Lepisosteus oculatus: one gene and its partner. The protein of the gene in region 1 purifies or fractionates together with the protein of each later gene. This does not show direct contact. Links are inferred from orthologs where the notes say so. Each region holds a gene or a part of one and is shown in the gene's direction. Other genes may lie near its edges. The genes, in order: gli2a and sufu.

Region 1 (3,917 bases):
ACATGTTTAGAAGTGACCCAGTTACACAGTTACTTCAGTTTTTGAGAAAAAAAAACAACAAAACCATGAACACTGGACTGTTGCATGTGAAATGTTTACTTTTAAGGATTTTAAGGATTCAGTTCTTAAGTGTAAAGCAAAGCTTAACGCAAACTTTTGATATGACATACTGTATTAAACACACCTAGTCTTGTTCCACACTGATGGGTTTCCCACGCCGGTGTCCAACAGCAGAAACAGAGCAGTCCCGGCCTATGTTTAAAATAACCTTGACTTCTCTCTGGTAATGTCAATTAGCTCCTCAAACTCGCCTGCGAGCCGTCTGAAGCAGCGAATGTATTACCCTACGTCCCCAGGATTACTTATGCAAAACATCACACACCTAAAATGTCATTTAAAAAAATAAAAGGGAAATGTCTAGGAATCGTTACTTCATTCAAAACGCTCGCCTAGCACGATAAAATCCTACTGCAGTTTTGTCAGGTGTAAACTTTTTAGTTTTTCACCGCTGTAGATCTTGTCTTTTATCGTTGCGTTTCTGTCAGGCGTGAACATGGTTTGGGGAGTGTAGGTGGTTGTTGTTGTTAAAACTGCGAGCTCCCCAGCGAGTGAAAAGCTGTGCATGAAGAGTAGTTCACAGAGAAGATGCTCACAGCTGTAACGGCCCGCCGTGTAAATTAGGGTACGTCTTCGTTTTAAAAAAATGACTCCCACGTATTACGCCCTATTACGTACGACATACATACTTACCTCTGAGTTGACCAGCAAAGTTCAGTGCGGCTCTCATCTGTACGGTTGGTGCAGAGCTGTCCTGAGCCGAGATCCCCTCACCTCGCACCTCGCACCTCGCACGCTGCTCCCTCCCGTAGGTACAGGGCGCGTCTGAGGCACAACGTCCAACACACACCGCTGACCGCTGCTGCAAGTCCGCTGCCTTTGTTCAAAAAATATTGGGAAAACACGAATGAACTACGGGTTGGTGAGCGGAATACAGAACGGATAACGCGCATTTTAAAGTCTGTGTTTTCTTTTTTTTTTCCTAATTAAAAAAAAAGCAAAATGATCAGAATTATATCGACTCTGAACATATGTACTCAAAGACTTAATCGTTACAAGGTCTGGGTTCAAGGTGCAGATTCACGGAGTAAACGCTCGTGGAAAGGAATACGCTTGTAGATAAAGCTTTTAATTCATTAATTTCCTTCTGAAATATAACTGATACTGTACAGTTGGAAACCACGGGGTTTCCATTGCAAAGCTAAAACTTCACACCACAATCTTCCGCATGTCTGTCTCTGTACCTGTAGCTGTGTTTATACTTGAGGACGTTCTGTTTATCCCAACCCTTTGACAGCAATACGAGAAAAACTGAATAACCTGTCAGTTCTGTTCCTTTTACTGCGCTTTATTTCAGGTTATGATCCAAATACAAGCTGTTTTAAACACGCAAAGAGAGAGCGAGGATTCTTCTGAAGTAACAAAATAAGTTTGACTTGCTCCGTGCTGCAGTCTAAATGAAAGGGGGAGAAAACACACAAAGCTGAGAAAATCCACTTAAAGTTATATACAAAAACTAAGCCCCCTTTGAAATGAAAAGTAAACGGAGCCTGCAATGCTGGGGTAACAGAAAAGGCCCTGGAATGGAGTTTTCTTTCAGGCAAAAACCACCACTTGTTTGCGCTGCACCAAGGATAATCTTGTAGGTTCCACAAAGTTAAACAGCCGACCTGCTGCCAAGTCGGCATCTATTTAGATGAGGATGCAAACATGTTAATAGACGGAGTGGAAGATCGGCAGGCAGGGTCTTGTTCTGTTAATTGCTTTGTGGCATTTTGCACATGCCTTCTTGTTTAATTAAATACCTGGTTGGATCTGGGTTCTCTCAGATATATCACATTAAAATTGAGCAGAATCAGAGGATGTTGTTTCTCGGGTAATTTTGAATACTAAGGAGTGGGGAGCATAAAGTACTGTAGGAAGTTTCACTTAATGAAAAAATGTTATCTGTTATAAGTGTGCTGTTTTTGCCTGCAAGTTTTAGTTGGTTTTTTTTTGTCCAAAGTTATGTATAGTCTCTTTGTCTCTTTGGTCTCCTAGGGGGTATAATTGATGTTGTTCTAGTATAAGGTTTGGCAGTGTGACTTAAGGAACTGTTTCATTATCTGACTTTTAAAACTTGTACTTTTTGCATCTCCGGGATCTGATGCAGTACTGTGAAAACCGTGCAGTTTGTGGATACAATGTCCTTACTTTTCTTTTTAAAAACAATTAAAAACTTTGCAACAATAATTTGCAACAGTATTTTTACATCTGCAGTGGGCAGTACAGGTGTTATTTTGGATTTGTACAAAATATTCCTTATTATTACCGAACTCTTCTTTACTCTGGAGTGCTTACCTTTACCATGCTGTTGGTCTGTTAACATGCAGTCAGTCCCACCAGGTTCACATTGTTTTCATCACAACTGATGGTGACATTGGCAGCTCCCTCTACTGGCTCCAGTGAGCAGTTCCTCTTCTCCTCTCTCCTGTGTAACTAGTCCCAGGGACACCGGTGCTCCAAGGCCCTGTTTTCAAACTTGTTCTTTAGGCAGCATTTGAGTAAACCGATTAAAATTGCTTACTTTTAACAAACGCCGATGTCTCGCTTCCTTCTGAAGCTCATTTGCAATGCTGCAAACAAAACCTTTGAGCACTAGTTCCCACTGTTCAGCCAGCATGTGATTTATCTTCAGCTTGGCTGTTTCCTTCTGTTTTGTGCAGGTCTCTGTCACTGCTGAGGTATCGTCATCCACGATGGAGACTTCAGCACCGACTACGGCAGAGAAGAAAGATGCCAAGGGAGCAAGCATAGAAGGAAATGGCTTCCCAGAGCTGAGCAAAAAGCCCTCTCCTTCAGCCATAGCAAGAGGTAAGGTACATCGGTGTCTTAGAACTAGGACTTCTTCCTTTCCGTTTTTAACATTCTTTCCCCACTTCATTATTTGTGAGGTGTACCAAGGCTCAGAGCAGCTGACCCTTTGCCTGAAGCATGAGTGTCAGTGTCATTCACAGGAGGGGTGTGCCTCACAGCCAGCCAGCGAAGACTGTAAAAGAAACGCCAGCTTGATATGTAATGACACAACCTAAATATCTGTAAAAAATACATCCAGATCAGGATGTTCATGCTTTATCTCAGGAGACACTGGCCTGACAGTTGTGCCTTTAAGCGGATGTAGCTTACACTGCAGAACTGATGAGGATTATTATTTATATTAGGTGATAAAGTGGAGCATTGTGCTTAGATTTGCAATTTTTTTTTCCAGTCGTGCACAGGCAGTGCCACCAAATTGTTCTGTTTGTTTGCAGTTTTTCAGCGAACTATGTTCACACCACCGTTCGCTTGCTCCAGAAATTCCACCGTCCTCTGAACTACAGTACATAAAATGCAAGACTTCACAGTACCTGCCTTCTCCTGCTAATTGTACAGCTGCACTGGACTTGGTTGGGAAACCTCAGCTAAGAGTTCGGGGGGACTGTGGTGTGGAATGAATAAGTGTTTCAAACAAAAAGTTTGGAGCTGTAACATTTTTAGAGGTGTGTTTATTTTGATACCAATCAAAACTAATTGGCACTTGTCCAATAAGAGTATAAAGACAGATGTTTTATACATCTGTATATAGTTGTATCTGTTGTAGATGTTTAAGAGATGTCAGTGAGTGCATGATGAAAGAATTGTGTAATGAGATTTAAAGACCTTGTTCTTACCTCTAGAGTATAAAAAGTAATAAATTACTTAAAACAGCTAGTAGTGGAGTATGCTGTGGATGGGCACTGACACAGAGTCCTTACAAGATTGACAAAGATGCTGACTGAAGGATACCTTTGAAATGGTAATCTGACTTCTGATATCATGGCCTTTTATAGTTTAATGAAGAG
Region 2 (3,917 bases), on another chromosome or scaffold:
TTTTTAACACGGAGATGTTGGTTTGCTCCAAAGAAGCATCGTGTGTTATGGGACAAAATACATAACGTTTATGAAACGTGTCTTAAAGATTGTGCACTTGTTCAAAACAAACTGCAGTTCTGACTGCAGTTTAACTGCATTAAGTTTGCTTTAACAAAAAGCATTAACGCAGTGACTGCATTAACCGTCAAACGGGCTAGGTGAGCCTCTCATTCATTACTTCTTGTGATACTAGAGAATTAGTTTCTCTCTTGAGCAAATCAACAACCAATATCGTAGCAGTATCAAACAGTCATCCGCAATATCGACCCCTGTGAGGATTAGGAATAATATATATATATATGTAGTTTATAAAGTACTCCATGAGTCATTGCCCTGCAGCTCACAACTGGCAGCCTACTGAAGCTTATCAGGTGTAAGCCTGGTCAGTACCTGGAGGGGAGAGCTCCTGGGAAAAACTAAAGTTGCTGCAGGAAGTGGTGTTAGTGGGGGCAGGAGGGGGCGCTCACCCTGCGGTCTGTGACGGGTTCTAATATAGTACATAGTACAGTATAGTAACGGGGACAATATACCGTAAATATGCGCCGTCCTTCGGATGAGACGTAAAACCGAGATCCTGACATTCTGTGGTCATTAACAGTCCCAGGGCGTTTCTCGAAACGAATAGGTTACCCCGGTGCCCTGGTCAAATTTCCCACTGGTCTTTACCAGTCAAAGCCTCCTAATAATCCCCATCTATGAACTGGCTTCATCACTCTGTTCTTCACCAAGATGATAGCTGGTGTGTGGTGAGTGTACTGGTGCACTATGGCTGCCGTCGCATCATCCAGGTGGGGCTGCACTGATGGTGGTGGTGTAAGCGCCTTGAGTGGAGTGTCCAGAAAAGCGCTATGTATGTGTAAGGAATTTTTATTACTTTTTTAGGGGAAGAAAGTCTATGTCTATCTGACATGATTTGCGTCATAGACAGGAGTGTCCGTATGCGTCCACTAGGTGGAGCTAAGAGTCGGGTTTAGAGAGAAGCACTGGTTTTCCCAGCGCAGCGCCCCCTCCAATCCCAAGTACTGTCGACAATCCCAGCCCCCAAACTCCTGCGGTGTGCCCGCCTCCACGCCGATGAACACCCAGATCAACCAATCATTGTCTTATGATGGCAGCTTTCCCCACCCACCCCAAATGCTGATTCGCAAGACAAGGTGTCACTCAAGAAGTGCTCGGACGTTCACTGGAGAAGCAACAAGCTGCTCCTCGCTGGGGTGAGAAGAGGGGGGCAGGTTTCGCGTTTTCATCTAGCGAAAACAGGAGACTCCAAAATAGACATAGCTGGGTTTTGGGAAGGGGGGAGCGGTAAATTGCAAACTTTGTGTCAGTGGAAGGAAAGAGAGAGCCTTGCTCTGTTTTTTTTCCAGCAGCCCCCGGAGCTCGGTGTCGGGGATGGATGATTTGCGGCCTAGCGGCGGCGCCGGAGCCCAGGGACTGGCGTCGCTGTTCCCCCCGGGTCTGCAAGCCATTTACGGGGAATGCAGGCGGCTGTATTCCGATCAGCCGAACCCGCTGCAAGTCACAGCCATCGTAAAATACTGGTGAGTGTTGCCTGCAGCAGCCAGAACACCAAGCCGATGCAAGACTTTTTTTTTGTAAAACCTTGAAAGGAAATGGGGCTAGTTTTGTGCGTTTGACTTCATTGAGATTAATATAAAGTTTTGAACGGTTCAGCCGTAATCTGGCCAGTGAGGAGGGTCGCAGTGCCGTGCAGCTGGAGTTCGGGGGTTATTTTTTTTGTCATTGATGTTGGTTACACTGTTAGCGGAGCTGTAACTCGCGGGCTGAACTTTCTCACTTTCGTCCTTGTGGTCGATATAGACAAAGTTTTCACGGTGAAGGGAACCCGTTTCGAGTCTCGGGGATAAGTAAGAGCACAGTGATCTCCCCCCCCACTCCCGGGCGATAGGGGTCCCAGACCCGTAGGTACTGTGATGGAAACAGCTTTTCAGGGGGCTTTCCTTTTGACAACCCCCCCCAAATCTGTGGACATTGCACAGAAGCCCTTCACCCCATGCCGTGTAGGCAGCGAGGCCATGAGCTCTGGAGAGAGTAGTTTCGAGAAAGAGAGAAGATGCGACCCCGGAGCGGAGAGCTGGCTGTGTCTTTCAGGGCTTTTCTGTCAGGAGGAGCACTGGTCTGATTTCCACAGCGGGTGTCCTTTACAGACCAGCAGAACCGTCGAGCCTGGCTACATGCAGGGTGACAAGTCGGTGTTGAGCGGGTGGTAGAGTATCATCGCTACGCTAGGGGCATCAGCGCCACTTCTCTCGGTTGGTGTTTGCGCCGTATACGGGCTCAAGAATGGTCCCACGGTTGCTTTGAAGTCCAGGACTGTTGATGCTCACGGTGTGTATACTGTAGGTTTCCCACGCGAATACGTGAGGGATTTCCTTTCTCTCGCCACATGACGGTACAGAACACGCTAAAAACTGTTTGAACTGATGTGTGTGTGTGTGGAGAGGACTGCTGTGTATGCGGGCAGATGTGATCCCTTGCGCGTCAGTGACTGACAGGGATCAGGCTGAGGTCTTGAGACAGGGCGCTGTTCTGGTCCGCTGCCTCACCGTCATGCCCTGTACCCAACACATTTTCTGCTCCCGCAGATGCTGATCTCTTGTGGTTTGGTTAGGTACTCAGTTGCAGCCAAGTTTATTTCTGACTGAGTCACCCCCGTTTAGGTTTCTGAATGTGCCTACACATGGTAGATAGTCAAATTTGCTTGTTTTTTTTAACTTCTATTGCTCCTATATTAACTTCTATATTTCTATTTCCTAAGAAATATATTTGAGTATAAATAGGGGTGCACTTTATAAGAACGGTAAAAAATTACTATTGCCTTAACACATTTTTTGTGTTAACACTTTTTTTTTATAATGTCACCAATGAAAACCTGACTTTGTGATTAAAATTCTTTCAGTGGTTGTCTGTTAGACCAAAATTTCAGAAGGAACTCATTTTGGTAAAGTGGATATTTATATATTTGTTTTTTTATACACCAATGAGGGAAGCAAGTGGCTATAAATTGCATAATTTTGAGTTTCATACTAACATTTACAGAGACATTGTAAATAAATTCAGGATGCATTTGTCATTACCCGTTCTTTCAGGTGACGTGCTGAAGACCAGGGAGATTTAGGCTGAGGTAGAATTATTCAGCCACAGTAAGTGGTCTGGCGGTGGAGTAGGTGGTGGATACCCTTTATGATCAGGGCTAGAAAGGAGATCATTGATGACTTCAGGGAGCTCATGAGAACTGTTGGTACTCAACAGGGACTGTAGGCACAACAGATCTTGAGATCTGGTCTGGTGTAGTGAAGAGAGTGTCTGGTGAGCATTTCTTCATGTATGAATAAAACACATGCATTACAAGAAGATGCAGATGGACACCAGTGATTGACTTTGACTGCTGGTGAGCAGCATACCTGACATGACTAGGTCAACGAGACAGACTTTATTTGTATTTTATAGATGGAGAAGATCAGTAATGTTAGGTTAAAGTGATCTAATTCACTCCTCTCCTCTGGCCTCTTCTGCTCTCTTCTTGGATCTCTCTCTGTCACAATATTTGTGCCAAGAGGGTAAAGTGTAATAGACTTTAATATTCATCCCATGATAACGGTAGGGATGGGGAGACACAAGTATGCCGTGTACCCTTCACAGGGGTGTCTATAGTGTGATGTATGTGTTGGGTTTGGGGATCCGTAAACAGGCGTCTGTGATTGGCTGGCAGACTGGGACTGTGGGTGCGATTGGCTGGCGGACTGGGACTGTGGGCGCCTGCGATTGGAGGTGGTTGCCATTTAAGTTCTGTGCTGTTGATCTCTGGTGCTGGAGGCAAGAAAATCCACTAATGATGGCTTAATTTACCATGG

The links.
Region 2: the proteins of gli2a (region 1) and sufu purify together in Homo sapiens (affinity purification with mass spectrometry; 3 studies listed by BioGRID and IntAct, with this or other methods). This does not show direct contact. The link is inferred for Lepisosteus oculatus from reciprocal best matches to the Homo sapiens genes GLI2 and SUFU.

Annotation. Positions count from the first base shown.
Region 1 is NC_090707.1:4,049,976-4,053,892, forward strand, and holds the start of gli2a (zinc finger protein GLI2a), read left to right. Parts: upstream 1-841; 5' UTR 842-964; coding exon 965-979; intron 980-2,762; coding exon 2,763-2,910; intron 2,911-3,917. UniProt on the Homo sapiens protein: Functions as a transcription regulator in the hedgehog (Hh) pathway. Functions as a transcriptional activator. May also function as transcriptional repressor. Requires STK36 for full transcriptional activator activity.
Region 2 is NC_090699.1:45,291,978-45,295,894, reverse strand, and holds the start of sufu (suppressor of fused homolog), read left to right. Parts: upstream 1-1,101; 5' UTR 1,102-1,116; coding exon 1,117-1,256; intron 1,257-1,409; coding exon 1,410-1,583; intron 1,584-3,917. UniProt on the Homo sapiens protein: Negative regulator in the hedgehog/smoothened signaling pathway. Down-regulates GLI1-mediated transactivation of target genes. Down-regulates GLI2-mediated transactivation of target genes. Part of a corepressor complex that acts on DNA-bound GLI1.